Caenorhabditis elegans: one gene and its partner. The protein of the gene in region 2 purifies or fractionates together with the protein of the main gene of each other region. This does not show direct contact. Each region holds a gene or a part of one and is shown on either strand. Other genes may lie near its edges.

The links.
Region 1: the proteins of cyn-5 (region 2) and trpa-2 fractionate together in Caenorhabditis elegans (co-fractionation; one large-scale study listed by BioGRID). This does not show direct contact.

Annotation. Positions count from the first base shown.
Region 1 is NC_003279.8:7,179,715-7,186,981, reverse strand, and holds trpa-2 (Ion_trans domain-containing protein), read right to left. Parts: upstream 3,930-7,267; 5' UTR 3,921-3,929; coding exon 3,772-3,920; intron 3,698-3,771; coding exon 3,552-3,697; intron 3,504-3,551; coding exon 3,400-3,503; intron 3,358-3,399; coding exon 3,202-3,357; intron 3,153-3,201; coding exon 3,021-3,152; intron 2,546-3,020; coding exon 2,027-2,545; intron 1,955-2,026; coding exon 1,790-1,954; intron 1,592-1,789; coding exon 1,517-1,591; 3' UTR 1,330-1,516; downstream 1-1,329. Other genes in the region: M05B5.3 (uncharacterized protein), read right to left, coding at 1-273, 322-537, 1,225-1,234.
Region 2 is NC_003279.8:15,037,184-15,044,669, forward strand, and holds cyn-5 (Peptidyl-prolyl cis-trans isomerase 5), read right to left. Parts: upstream 4,092-7,486; 5' UTR 4,090-4,091; coding exon 3,883-4,089; intron 3,834-3,882; coding exon 3,426-3,833; 3' UTR 3,291-3,425; downstream 1-3,290. Other genes in the region: gldr-2 (PAP-associated domain-containing protein), read left to right, coding at 1-87, 556-824, 870-1,085, 1,588-2,215, 2,364-2,611, 2,666-2,858, 3,092-3,218; bltp-2 (FMP27/BLTP2/Hobbit GFWDK motif-containing RBG unit domain-containing protein), read right to left, coding at 4,702-4,740, 5,479-5,724, 5,777-5,968, 6,018-7,486. UniProt on the Caenorhabditis elegans protein: PPIases accelerate the folding of proteins. It catalyzes the cis-trans isomerization of proline imidic peptide bonds in oligopeptides.

The DNA of each region.
Region 1 (7,267 bases), 7.9 Mb from region 2:
CTGGAACCAAAACATATTGAGTCTGATAATGCTGCTGCAAATTTAGAATCTGTTGAGGTGGCGGTGGAGCTTGTTGAACATGATTTATGGGTTGAACCGGTTGAGAAAGAGGACGAGGAATCGGTGAACATCCAACTTCATCATTTGGAACCTCGTTGACTTGACGAACAATAACTTCTTTGCTGTTTTTTTCTATGACATGATTGCAAGGCTTGGCGATGATATGGATATTCTTATTTTTTCTCGATGAGCTTCTTCTCTTTCTCTCAGGCGCTGAAAATGATACAATTATCTTGAGAAAAAGATCATCCTTTCACTTACGTTCCAACTCTTGTCTCTTAATATTGAATTCCATTTCTTTTCTTTTATTCTCTTCGTCTTTATAAGCATTAATCATCTCATCAGATTTTTGACGTAATCTTCTCTTGTAAACCCATCTTACAAAAAGACATGCGTAGAGGCAAACTCCAAACAGAAACAGAGAGAAGACAAAGAAAACGATATTCAGCCAGATGTATTGAAGACTTGAGAAATATTCTGCAATTTTTATTTCATACTTTTTGAAAACTTGAAAGTTGAAGTATTACGGGAACAATAAATCATGAGAATGCGTACTCGGTGCATTTTATTTGACGCGCGATATCTCTTAGCGAAAACTACAGTAAGAGCTTAAATATCTATTGTTATTTGAGTTCTTACTGTAGTTTTCGCTAAGAGATATCGCGCGTCAAATAAAATGCACCAAGTACGCATTCTCATAATTTATTGTTCCCGTAATATACAAATAGCCTGTCTGTTATTCCGGTTTTTTTTAACTAAAAACTAAATTTAAAAAAAAACGTGGATCACGTTTCTTGCATTAAAAATTGAAGTTTTTGGTATTTATGCGCCCCCGTTTCGGGATTTCAAATTTTGAGTTTTCCAATACTATTCTTTGTTTTCGTGATCACTTTTGGTCAAGGACCTCTGACCCTTTTTGTTTTTGAAAGCTGTGTCTCACTGAAGCCCAAAAATTAAAACCGTATCTGAAAAATACCGAACCATAAAATCGGTTTTAGCTACCAGAATTAGGGCTAGCAATGAGTAGAGGGTTGCTCCGCGGCTCGTAATTACAGCGAAAAAAACGATCCACCGATTTGCTCAAAATGGGTTGCATTACCAACGAAAGCCAGAGTTCATTTTTCCGACGACATTTCACTTCAAAATTGAATAACTAAAACTAACCAGATGCCATTGCTCGAGACTTGAAATCTTCAACTCGTCCAACTCACACCAGAATGTAACAATAAATTTGTTTTCCCTCGAGAACAAAAAAAAAAGAACGAGATCCAACATTACCAGAGTTCACGATAATTAAATTATAAAATTAAAAATACAATATTTTAAAAAAGTCAAAAGAAAACAAAAACGTCTAAATCAACGTGAGATCGATAATTTAAAATAGAAAATCCGGGAAATAAAGAGAAGGAGCAGTAAAGGTAGTACAGAAACCAGTTTTTAAAGAATTTTGGGGAACTCAAATGTCCAAATATCCAGCCCAATCGAGACCAATCAACCATTTGGCATATCCGTTCCAGCAGCTACTTGTATCCTTAAATCATTAAAGTTATGCACCTTCTAGTTTCTAGTTAGTTTTTGGGTCTTTTTAATATTTGGCAATTGTTGATTTTTTGAAATACCAAAAATTTCCCAATCTCTAGAACAAAAAGTCACAGTATTTTCGAAACTTGTTACTATGCTTTTTGGTTATTTTAGTACAATCGAGAATTACTGAGAAATAAGAATTCACCTCATAAATTCTCGAATCAGGAGTAGAATCGATTACTGGAATTCCAGATTCAGTAGACTCAATGCATTCAATGTCACATTTGCTGACTGTAGCTGTCTTTACACGTCCTTTTGATGTCTTGATACGTAATCGCATTCCGGTTTCCATGAAACTGATTTTGAATGCCTTAAGATGAAGTTAATTAGTAATTAATTTCCCCATATATTGTTCAGAAAGTTTCACAAAGTAAAATATTACCTCATCTGAAATGGCCACACTTGCAGAATGTGGGAAAACATCAAATTCCGAAATATAAGTTCCGTCGCTGTTAATGACTAACACATTTGGTGTCTTTTTTGTGTGAAGTCGGAACATTTCATTTTGAAATTGTTCACTGATTTGAAGAGCTTCAATTACAAAATTTACTTTGATCTTCAGTAATTTATCTTGAGCTGTATTGTTCAAATAAGTAACATCGCCAACCGCAAGTGACACCATCAAATTCATCAGGAGGATTACTGTAATAATTTCAAAAACAAGTACAAGAATACTTGGAATCCATTGATTTGTATCAAGTATATCATTTGCATCAACTTCTCCAATCATCATTGTTGATGTTTTAGTGACTGCTTGAAGAATAACCAGCATTGTTTGAACCATTGTCATATTTTCAGTTTGTTGATCAATCAATGGCCAAGGTTTTACACCAGTGTCTCTCATAATTAGTAGAAATGCAAACGAAAATGCAATGAGAGTTGGTATCCAAATAGTAGCAATCTAAAAATCATAAAATCCTGGTTCAGCTTTTTTTTTTGCCCACAAATGACATCGCCTTTGCCGCGCCCAAATTAAGCGCAAGTTACTAGGTAGATTCTTTTTTTTGGATTCGACAACGTTTCTGGCCAAATCTTGCTAATAACTTACTCGTGTTAGAAAAACCCAAGGTAAGTTTAAATAAAATTTTGGCAAAAGTTGGAACCAAAAAATTTAAACTGAGGCGCAGTATAAACCTATTTCTGCCCAACTCTTGCACAAGCTTTTCCATCTTTTGTTTCAAGTTTTATTTCTGCGGCGAAAATTGGGACTGGGATTGGGGTCAAACGACCTTAAATTCCTAACAAAAAACGTTTTGGTATCAATTTTGTTTTGAAATTCAGTAAACCATTTTTCAGTTTTTTTTCGTGATATAGGTTATTAGTTTTCAAAATTTTCCTACAAGAGCCCCATAATAAGTTAATTAAGAACAACTCACATGCGCAAAACTCCTCAAAATTCGTGTCATCATAAATATATAAATTCCAAATGGAGATTTTCTCATTATATAGAGAAGGTTTGCCCAAGCAGAGATGATTGCAATGATTGGAAGGAACCAGGTGACGATTTTCTGTGAATTTTAAAAAATATTAAAAATATTATTTTACTGAATAAAAAACCTTGACTTCCAAATGATAATCATCATATCCAAAAACAGTTGGTAACCAGACATATGCTAATGTTGCCATATAAGTGAAGATATTAAAGCAAAAAGCAACAATAAACCAAGTCGAAACACTTTTTGTTATTCTTGCTTTAATTGTTCCTTTTAATACCTAAAAAACGATTTATTGATAAAAACTTTTGAAAAATCTCACCAAAAACATAAAAAAGATTCCAGTAAAAATGGTGATCAAAAAGTCCTTGAACAAATTTCTAGAGAAAACGTGCCACGCAAGTAGGAGAAAAAAGACCAGAAAAGCTGGAAATATTTAAAGTATTTGATATTTCCTTAAATCAAATATCTCACCAAGAATGTGAAGACTATAAAAGAATGCACAGTCAATGAGTTTTTGATTCACGTAATTCAGAATGTATGGATGACGAATTACACCCCATTTCTTTCCAGATTTCAGTTTTCGAAGCTCCTTCCAGTTGAGAGTTTCACCAGACCCACTGAAACGGAAAGAATTTTTGAACTTTACTGAGTAGATTAATTTCTATTTTTCAATAAATAAATTCAAACTCACTTCTCATAATTAAAAATAAAAGTGGTGGAATCTTCAGCTTTATTTCTGCGAATTCTTGATCGTTCGTTGCAAAAATCAATGGAAATTTCGTCATTGATTTTTTCATTCCGATGACCAAGTTCTTGAAGGGGAACTCTTTCAGCTTCCATGTTCCGCATCTGAAATATAAAAAAAACAATCAATTAGAAAAATGAAGAGGGTTTCAAAATGAAAGAAAAAATTCATCTGTTTTTTCTTTATCATTTTTATTACAAATCCGGTGATGAATAAAAAACCTAAACCCTCTTTAAAACTGAATTGATATCTCTTAATTCATGATTCACAACTAGAACGAAAGAAATTTCAAAATTTCAAGAAAGACCTATACATGTCTGTATTTGTCAATAATTGTCTGCGTCTACTATTCATTTCGAGCTCCCAAAAATGATCGATCGCATGAAAAATGAGTCACAGATGAAGTGGCAGGCAGGCGGGTACAAAATTGAAAGAAAAAAGTACTTGAGAAATAGAAAATAGAAGAGGTGTTTACTATCTTTGTTTGTGCCAAAATGCAACAATGCGCGGATAAAAGCAATTCGTCTCCTCCTCTTTCAATCCCTCACCGGAAATTTAAAAATGCGAATGAAATTGACACTATTTCCGGTTTAAAATTACTTGTCAATCAGTCTGTGCCAATTTTTTCGGTACTAAGAAACGGGAAATGTACAAAAATGGAATCAGTTTTGATAATTTTTACTTGTTTGACTTTTGACTTTTAGGAAATTTGATGAAAGTATTGGTTTTTTTGTCTGTTTTGAAAATGATTTTTTTTGTGTTCCCTATTGAGAAGAAACAAAACTTAAAGAATACATTAATTTTTTCGAATATTCGATATTGTCAAAAAATTTCGCCAATAGTGGCAGAGTGTCAATCACCTTATTAAATAATGAATAAATCTTGCAGAATTCCCCAAAAACTAGCTTTTATAGAATTTTTAAAATTGCAAGGATATGTAAAATGTCTAGACAAAAATAATAATTTAATAACGATAATAATTAAATACCGCCATCAGCAAAATTTAAAGCCTGCACAACTGCCTCAGTGTTTGAAAATTTCAAAAAATCATGGAAAACGGTGTAAAATGAGGACAAAAAGCAGTTGCGTAAACAGAAACAAAAATACATGTCTTCCAAAATTTCGGAACTTTAGAGAAAAGAAAAAGGAGAGGGAAGGCTCAAATAGATTAAAACGGAAAAGAATGGACGTTGACCAGTTGATGATGTGACTGGTTTTCAGGACAGCTCAAATTGCATTGAAAACATTAATATATACGAGTATTGTCAATAGGCAGCGAATTGGTTGGTTATGGATAGAGAATGTAGGAACCGACATGCATGACAGTGTTTGCAGATCATTTTGAAAAGAAAATGACAATGGTATTAATTTATTTAGCAATTGGTGGTTTTGACAAATAATCCAATTGAAAATAGGTTATACATGTTCAAGCAAACATCCACAGTTTCTTATAAATTTCCTTAATTTCAAATTAAATTTGGCTTCTACATTCTGAATTTTCAAACAGCTCAGCTGGATCAGTAATAATTTCTACTAGAATCTGTTGATGAATGTAGAATGACTCAAAAAAGGAGAAAAAATGAACGAAATCGAATAATGCCGCCAAAGACTCATTTGTAGGTATTTGTATGTGTTTGTATGAGACGAGGTGATTTTGTTGCGGTATTCACAATGTTTGGCAACCCATAAATCGAAAAAAGAGAGTAACAAGAGAGAAAGGTGTGTGTCAAAAGGCCTCCGAAGATCAACACTTTGGAATAATTAAACTAGAAATAGAGGGAGAAGCTTCAGAAGAAAAAGGGAATAAATAGAATAAGAGAGGTGAGAGAGCACTAGGATGAGCACAGCTCAGAAGCCTCTTATTCTGAATGCATGAGAGGCTTCAAGCCGACTAAAGGAATTACAAGCGAAGGAAGAGAGGTGTCACGCTGAGAAAGAGCTGCAGAGAAATGTTTGGAAATGCTGACAGTATTGTTTGTGTGTGTTTCAGGTAACATGTACTAATGTTCAAAGTTGCAATAAGCTATTATTTTGATACATTTTTGAGACTGACAGTGTGTCCATTCAAACCTTTGGAAAGTTTCCAAATATTTTTTATTTATTTTTAATTCCGACTTTTTGAGAAATTTGGAGCCATATTGCATGTTTAATTTTTTTCTCTACTATTTTAAGTACGAATAGAGGGAGGAATAAGCAGAAAAGTAAAAACAATTTTAGTCGACTTCAAAAACGAAAATAGGTTAAAACTGTGCCTGTCAATTTTGACTGTACATAAAAAAATTTCGAAAATTGCTTGAAAAGTTCCAATACGGTATTTGGTTATATTAAGAACATAAGATCCTTATAGGAAAATAATTAAAAGATTTCCTCACTGGCGCTACTCTACTTAAGTAGAGTGAAGCTTTAAGCTCAGTCAGTTTTACCAGCATGATACAGAACACCGAGCTTGTATAAATTCAAGACACTCTGTCAAACTTTCCGACAATCGTATTTACGAGACGAAGAGCCTAAAGAGACAACCACAAAGTAATTGCGTCTAATTTGGCGGAAAACTATGGGAAAACTGCGGAAAAACTGGAGGAAAAGAGATGGGAGAGCAGAAGAAGGATAGAGTTTCGAAAAACAATAAAATAAAATGAGAGAAGAAAAGCATGTAGGTGAAAGGTTTCCAAAATATGCAGATGGTTTGGAAAGAGAACCTCAATCGAAATGCGCGAAATCTAACCGCTAAAAAATCTGTCTAGTGTCGCCAGCTGAAGGAGCGGCACATGTGGTTGTGAAATGGGAAAAATGGAAAACGAAACGGATATTCTGAGGGAATTGAAAGAGGACGGCATAGAATTCGTGCACCCCTGCCTGAATTCGATGTATTTGTTTATAAATTCATGGACTCCCATTAAATGACCACCAATGGAATATAAAGTGGATAGTATGGGGTTAATTAGAATAATGGAGTTGAGAAGTAATAAAAAAATTTAGAAAATTAATATTACCCAATTGTTTTTAAAAATAAACTGCTTGGACTATGACTTTGACCATAAACACTTACTTCTAAAAATACATATTACAGAGCAAATCAAAATTGTTGATACGTTTTGGCTGCTTGGAACACTTTGAAACGGGTAAATTGTGAGTTTCAATTTTTTGTTTTTTCATTATTTTTCATTCTGTAGTAGTTGACAACAATCTTGGCACGCGTTTAAATTTGTATGGTCTCTTATGCTTCCTAAATGTCTCTCGGAACATCTTGTGTAAAAATTGACAAAGGTGGCAAAAGGAATATTGAAAAACGTCTTATAGACTATAAGTTATACACTTTTAAAAAAACTAAAAAAATCTAATTGAAACGTGAAAGACAAACTTATATAGGGATATTCACGTCAGTTAAAAAAAACTTCAAAATAACAGTTTGAAATTAGAAAAAATTTATTACGAATTTCAA
Region 2 (7,486 bases):
GAGCGAAGCATCGCCCAAACTTCGCAAGATGCGAGAAATGGACGGAGCGAAGAAGAAGCTCATCGAAGAAGCTACAATGCGCCTGGGGTACTTTAATTCTGCGATTTTTGTCAAAAATTGTAATGCGAACCCGCGACGCAGATTAAATTGCTGAAAATTCATGTATTCCCGATTTTTTCGCTGGTTGTTCTGAAATTACGGGAAAATGCGTAATTCTAGTAAAAATAGACTCAAAATATTGAGTATAGTTACTAGGATTTTTGACATGTTAGCAAACCGATATATATCTAGCTAAACTTAACATTTAATTTTAAAATCCGTTGGAAATTAATTTTTTTAAAATAAAATAAAATACATGTAATGGGGTTATTCAAGTAATATAGCAAAATGTATGTAAATACATTTGTGACGTCACAAATGTATTTAAATACATGTTTTTATATACTTGAATACAGTCGTGACGTAATTTTTCTAATTTTCCGACACTACTTGAATAACCCCATAAGGTACAAAAATTGCTGCTAATCGTCTTTCAATGAAATGCTATTTTTTTAGTGAAAACCGCCGATCTCCATCTCTCGACTCTGACACCTACTTTGGAGAATGTCAACAGCTGCTTCACGGTCCAACAGAAGTCTACTGTGCCCGTCCCGAATCGAACCAGTTTGTCCAGCAGTACGAAGAAGCGAATTCAACTGAAGCATCTGAGGATGAAGACAAGGAAGCTGTACCGATGAAGCGTGCTCGAGTGGATATAGAAGAAGACGACGACGACGTCATTGTTCTGAATATGACCACCTCTTCTGGAGTTTCGGATAAAAAAGGTAAGTCAGAAGTCCAATCGCAGGCTTCTTAATGAAAAATTCAAGACGTTTCAGGTTCTGAGGACGAAATAGGTGATATAGTTGACGAGTGGGATGCAAATGACGAGGAGGAGAAGACTGACGAACTGGAAGAGCTTGAAGATGACGATATTCAGATAATTGAGGCAGGGGATCAAGGAAACGGTGTAGAAGAGGTCTCAAGCACAGTGATTTCGGTGGAGACTCCCAACAGTTCTTCAGATGAGAATAAGATCTACAATGGTACAGTTTGAGAGAAATGTATTCCTCACCTTACAGTTTTTGGTACTTGTGTATTACATGTCCTCGTTTTTAAAGTATTTTTAAATTATAAAAAATAAAAACGTGTACCATAGTTTTGTATCTGTAGGCTTAGGAAAGAACCATTTCTTAGCCTAAAGAGGAAAAGTGCATACAAAATTAAATTTAAATGGAGAAATTAATGAACATTTCATCTAATTTAAAAAGGATGACATGTAATACACAGGTACCCAGTTTTTGTTGAAATTCGAGGTGGTTACTGCAAGGAGCCAGAAAACACGTTAGATACAAAATCGGCCTGAGAGAAAATTATCAACTTTTCAGGCGTTTAAGGCGAAAAATCATACATTTTTAACACCAACACAAAAAAGATTGCTCCGAAATCAAAAATTGTAGGATCCTCCTCGAGGAGTACACGAATTGCGTATATCGACACTCGCCCAACTGTTCCATTTTCAAATATATAATACAAAATTATTTCCAGGCCACCAAACGCATCAAATTTTCCGAGAAGTTCGCCAGTTGCCAGTCAATTATCAGGCACGAACCATCGGTGTAGTGCTCAACGAGCGGATCGCTGGCTCCGTCGAGAAGTTTGTGAACTCGATCACCAAAAAGTCGTTCAATTCTGTCAAACAATTGTCTAAATTGGCATGGGATCACTACCTGGGAAATGCACAACCGGATTTTGTGTTTCTCAAGAAAATGGAGGCTCGTCAAAAGCTATTCTCGGAGATCAAGAAGCTGTTCCCTGACACAGAGATCAAGCTCCAGACAACTGGCTCAACAGTGAACGGATGTGGATCTTTCAACTCTGACATGGATCTTTGTCTATGCTTTCCGACAAATGGATATAAAGGACAAGTATGCGACGATTTTCACTGCGACAGAAATTATTCGACGAAAATTCTTCGCAAAATTGATAAGGCGTTTCGAAGATCGCATTGGAGCCATCCTCTGAAGAAGATAATCAAGACAATGCAGCTGGTGCCGGCGAAAGTTCCAATTGTGAAAATGATTTTGAATGGAGAATTTGATGGAATTGAGGTTGATATTAATGTTAATAATATCGCAGGAATATACAATTCACATCTCATTCATTACTATTCATTGTTAGTTTTTTTCTCAACAAAAAATCAGATATTTCAAAATTTCGGCTGAATTTAGATAAAATCTTCAATTTTGTAACCGAAAAAATTAAAATGTGTGCCAAGTTTGAAACGCAATTATGAAATTTGCAAGATTTGTTTCTATTTTCAGAACGGATGCCCGGCTCCCAGCTCTGGCCCTACTCGTGAAGCACTGGGCGATGGTTACTGGAATCAATAACGCACAGGACGGATTTCTGAATAGTTACACGACGATTCTTCTCGTTGTGCACTATCTTCAATGCGGTGTCACTCCAGCAGTCATTCCGAACTTGCAATACTTGTTCCCGCACAAGTTTGATCGAAAACTTCCGCTTAATGAGCTTCTTCTGTTTGGCGATATTGCGGACAAGTTGCCCAGTAATTTGAAGTGCTCTTTTTATTATCTGTCTTACTAAATTTAACCATTTTCAGCAAGTCCTCCCAACACGTGGTCGCTTGGAGAGTTGCTCATCGGATTCTTTCAGTACTATAATGAATTCGATTTCACTAATTTCGGATTTTCAATCCGCTCGGGTCAAGTCATTCCTCGGGAAAATCTCCCCCGTGATCTCATCAACAGTCCGATTGTCGTTGAGGAGCCGTTTGATGCGATCAACACAGCCAGGTGAATATTGGAAAAAATGACCGTGTGTCGAGGATAAGATTATTCAGTTTTTGGCTAAAAATTGATTTTGAATCAATTATTTTTTGTGTTCACGCTCAACTCAACATCTAAAATAGTATAGATGGTTGATTATAATTCATAATACCAAAAAAGAAAACATCAATTTCCTGTCTCACTTCAAACACGGTTTGACTGTTAATCACTGAAATATAAGCTAAAAACTAAATTTTCAGAACTGTACGCGATGTTAGCCACATGAAATCTATCAAATCCGCCTTCCGCTGTGCCGTCCAAATAATCTCTTCAAATAAAAATTTTACAATGCGTGATCTCGGTGTAAACGTCACAGAATTTGACTAAAAAGTTAATTTGTTCTTTTTTTTTATTCGCTTCTTTTTTCTTATAGTGTTCGTATAGTGTTAATCAATACATACTTTGTAATATTATTTAATTGGAAACGCACAAAAAAGTCGATAAATTAAAAAGAAACTCGAATTACTCTTTAATTCAGGTGTCTGAAGTCAGGAGAATCACAGATCGATATTTAAAAAGAGAAGTCATTTGAGCTTAGACGACGGCCTCGCGTTCAACAGAGAATGGAGTGTCGACGGCGATGTGTCCAGAAGCGGCGATGATGACGTCTTGCTTCGGGCGGTCCCCAGGAAGCTTCTCGGTCTGTTCGATCTTGCGGACCACATCCATTCCTTCGAGGATCTTTCCGAAAACGACGTGGCGTCCATCGAGCCATGGGGTCTTGACTGTGGTGATGAAGAATTGGGATCCATTGGTATCAGCTCCAGCGTTGGCCATCGACAACCATCCGGCTCCGTAGTGCTTCAGCTTGAAGTTCTCGTCGGCGAACTTCTCTCCGTAGATAGAGCGTCCTCCGGTTCCATCTCCACGGGTGAAATCTCCTCCTTGAATCATGAAGTCTGCGATGACTCGGTGGAACTTGCTTCCTGGATATCCTTCTCCCTGAAAATTAAAAAAAATATTTTGAAACTCGATTTCTTGAGCTGCAAACCTTTGGCTTCTTGGCGAGCTCAATGAAGTTGGTGGCGGTCTTTGGGACGGTTTTTCCGAAAAGTCCGATGACGATACGTCCGATTGGTTTTCCTCCAATTTCCATGTCAAAGTAGACCTTGTCAGTGACCTTTGGTCCTTTGGCATCGTCTCCCTGAGCAAGAGCTCCGACAGCGAGCACGGCCGCCACAACAAGAAGCGACTTCATACCTGCAAAAATTATGGTGTTATATTGCGAGCAAAAAAGTTTAAAAAAAAGCAATAGTAAGAAAATGTAAATAGTAAGAAAAGCAATAGTAAGAAAAAAGCGAAATATCGAATTGTTTGATAACAATAATTAAATACCACATTCGAAAAGACATGGTGATAAGAGTACATTAGACATTTTATGTTTAAAAATGAAAAAGTAAAGCCTTAAAAATGAAGAAATAAATACAAAACAGTTACCAGCAGGAACAATTGAGATGAGTTTTCTGAGAATGACCCGTGCTGAGAGGGAAGACGAAGAAAAAGAACACGTCAGCACACATAAACCACACGGTGCAACGTGGATAGAGCGATAGAGAGGGCAAACTGCAAGTGAGTGAGTGGAGGGTGACGAGAGAAAGAAGGGGAAACCGAGTAAAAGGTGACCAGTGACCATTTGGTAAATGTATAGGACAGGCGGTATGGTGGGGTGGTGGTAGTGTGGTACCAAATGCACACAAACAACAGCGCAGTAATATACTCGGGACGAGGGGGGGGAGGTGAAGACGAGACGAAGATCGATTGGCCTTGACCCGTTAATCGGAGAATGTGATGAGTGGCCGGACGCGAGGCGTCACTTCGGGGCTTTCAGTGTTTTTTGATCGTATGTTGTCTGGAAAAATCGATTGTTGTAGTGGAGAAGGATTATGATTTTAGATTTCACACGGCCCGAGAAGTGGTACCTGTACGCAATTTGTCTACCGTATACCTGGACGTTTGGGCGCGTGTATCTCAAAAACGGTTGGTCCAGTTTTTTTGTGATGCATATAAAAAATGTCCGAAATTAAATTCTAAATTTTTTGGACCAAAGCTTTTTTCGTTATCACGCGCCCAAACCTGGTCTACACTCAAATTATCAGTAGAGCGCATTTGCATGGATGTACCACTTGCCGGGCCGTGTTCAAAAAAAAAAAAAATTCTGAGAATGCGTATTAAACAACATATTTGACGCGAAAATATCTTGTAACGAAGACTACAATCGAATATTGCTGTCACTATTCGAATAGAAATACATTTCGAAAATCGAGCCCGTAAATCACAAGCTCTACAGTATTCTTTTAAAGAGTTACTGTAGTTCTCGCTACGAGATATTTTGCGCGTCAAATATGTTGCGCAAAACATATTCACAGAATTTTGTGTTACCGTAATTCGGCTGTAATATACTTATACGGATAATTTGTTGCGAACTCAGCCCGGAGCGCAAAGTGGAATCAATCGATTTTTTTTTAAATAAAAATTTAAAAACAAGTTATTATTAAGTAATCATTAGATCAGATTTTGTCAGCATTAAGATCAGAAAAAGCGGAAAATTTTTCTTCAAGTTTCTTTAAAATTTGAAACAAAAACCTACAATTCCCACTGCTATCCGCTTCTTCTCATCCTCACTGACTCCCTGTGGAATAGGATCGATAGAAAAATTGGAAATTCGATTTCTCAACAATTTCTGCTTCATAAACTGTTGTACGAGCACTCGTTTGCAGTGCTGCTTGACAGCCAACGCCAAGTCGAGCCACGTCCAATTTTGCTCATGGTATTCACAGAGGGGGAATATGAAGTTGAATTGGTTCACATCTATCAGGTTTTTGTCCTTGTTTCCCTATAAAAAAAACTCATTCATTTCATTTTCAATTTCCTTTCTGTGCTCTCACCTTATATGATACTACAAATGAAACTTCCGGAATTTTGATATACATAAAATGATTGACTTTGTCGGCGCGCTCCTTCATTCGATCAATGTCATCCTTTTCGTGAAGAGATTTCTGAAGCATAAGCTTCTCCGACGCAGATTTATTGCTTCGCATGCTAAGTGTGCTGGCAATTTTTCGTGTGAATGAGAAGGTCTGAAATATGAATATTACAATTATTAATTGGATACTGTTACAATCTCACCGAAACTTCTTCCTCATGATCCAGGTTATCATTCGTATGAATATTCCTGCCAGGAAAAAAGAATCTCATCATTTTATCAAATAATCGATGAGTAATCTCTGCAACCATGGGAGCTATGTTCAACTCAAAGTGCTCTTTGACACTTATACCTCCAACAGGAGGCATATCTCTTACGAATAGTCGAATGGCAGGCTGCCTTGAGAGTCTAGTCTCATCTCTGTGCAGAGCATGCTTGTATATTGAATCAGGAAGGAGGTTCGTAATCCGGACACTTCCAACTTCGAACAGGTGATCTCCACAGTTACTATCCCTAACTGTACGTGTATAGAGGAAATTTCGAATTTGCGTCTGTGCCAACGCAATCTGTCCATCACTTTCGGTCAGCTTCCAAGTGCAATCTTCGAAGCAAACTTCAAATCTCCTTACAACTTCCATCCCTTTCTTCGCACTTTTCTCATCAAACTCCTTCACCCGATTGACCTGTCGTTGCTTATAGCAACTAATATACGTGGCAAGTTTCTCAGATACCGTAAGCATTCGTTGCTTTGTATCCTCTGCTTCAAGTACGAGCTGATCTTCCGTGTACTCAACTGGTTGTTCGCAGTGCGAACCATTCATCGAATTCGAATTACCGTTGCTCAGGTAGAACAACTGCCGTTCCAGAAATCTTCCGAGTGAAACAATTTCTCTGAGTTCTGATTGATATCTCATGATTTTCGCTCGCAACTCCACCATCTCCATTATCTGACACTCGAATCTCAATCTCCTTCGCTTTTCGCCCATTTCTTTCTTATAGGGATCCACGAAAAGCGCTAAATTATTTACAATATCCACAACCATTTCGTATTGCTCCGAGTTACTTGTAGCTTCTAGCATATTATGCTTCAAAGTTAGAACATCTATTCCAACAGCGTCAGGGTTCAATGACTGATGTTTCGGATCTAATTGCGGTGGCACCGAGATATCTTCATTTGACTCTGTCTTCAGCTCATCGGAGAAGTAACAGAAATAAATCTGACAGCTACATCGAGAAACAATTCGCTGAAGTTGAACCTTCTCCTCTGATTCATCTGGCGCCTCCGACTGAACAACTCCACCGACGGCTTCTCCTGCTGCGGTGAACTTCTGCACAAAATCGTCAGCAAATCCACTGGTGTCCTGTTGACTTTTCTCATCGATCATTTCTCTAGGCAACCATCGGAATTTCTCCTTATTAGTGCCGGTCGCAGAAATTGGAGCAAAATATTGCATTCCAGAGATTTTGGCGCTCCATGATTTTTTGCTGAGAAGCAAACTTCGTTTCCATACGTTGCGGTGGAAATTCTGAAGAAGTTGAGTTTTCGCGGCACATACGAGTAAGAAACCATCACGTTCACACCCTTTAAGGACAAGTTGACTGTTGAAAAGATCAATTTGCCAATTCAGAAGCTTCACATCATCCATAGTGGATTGATGTACTCCTAGAAGTG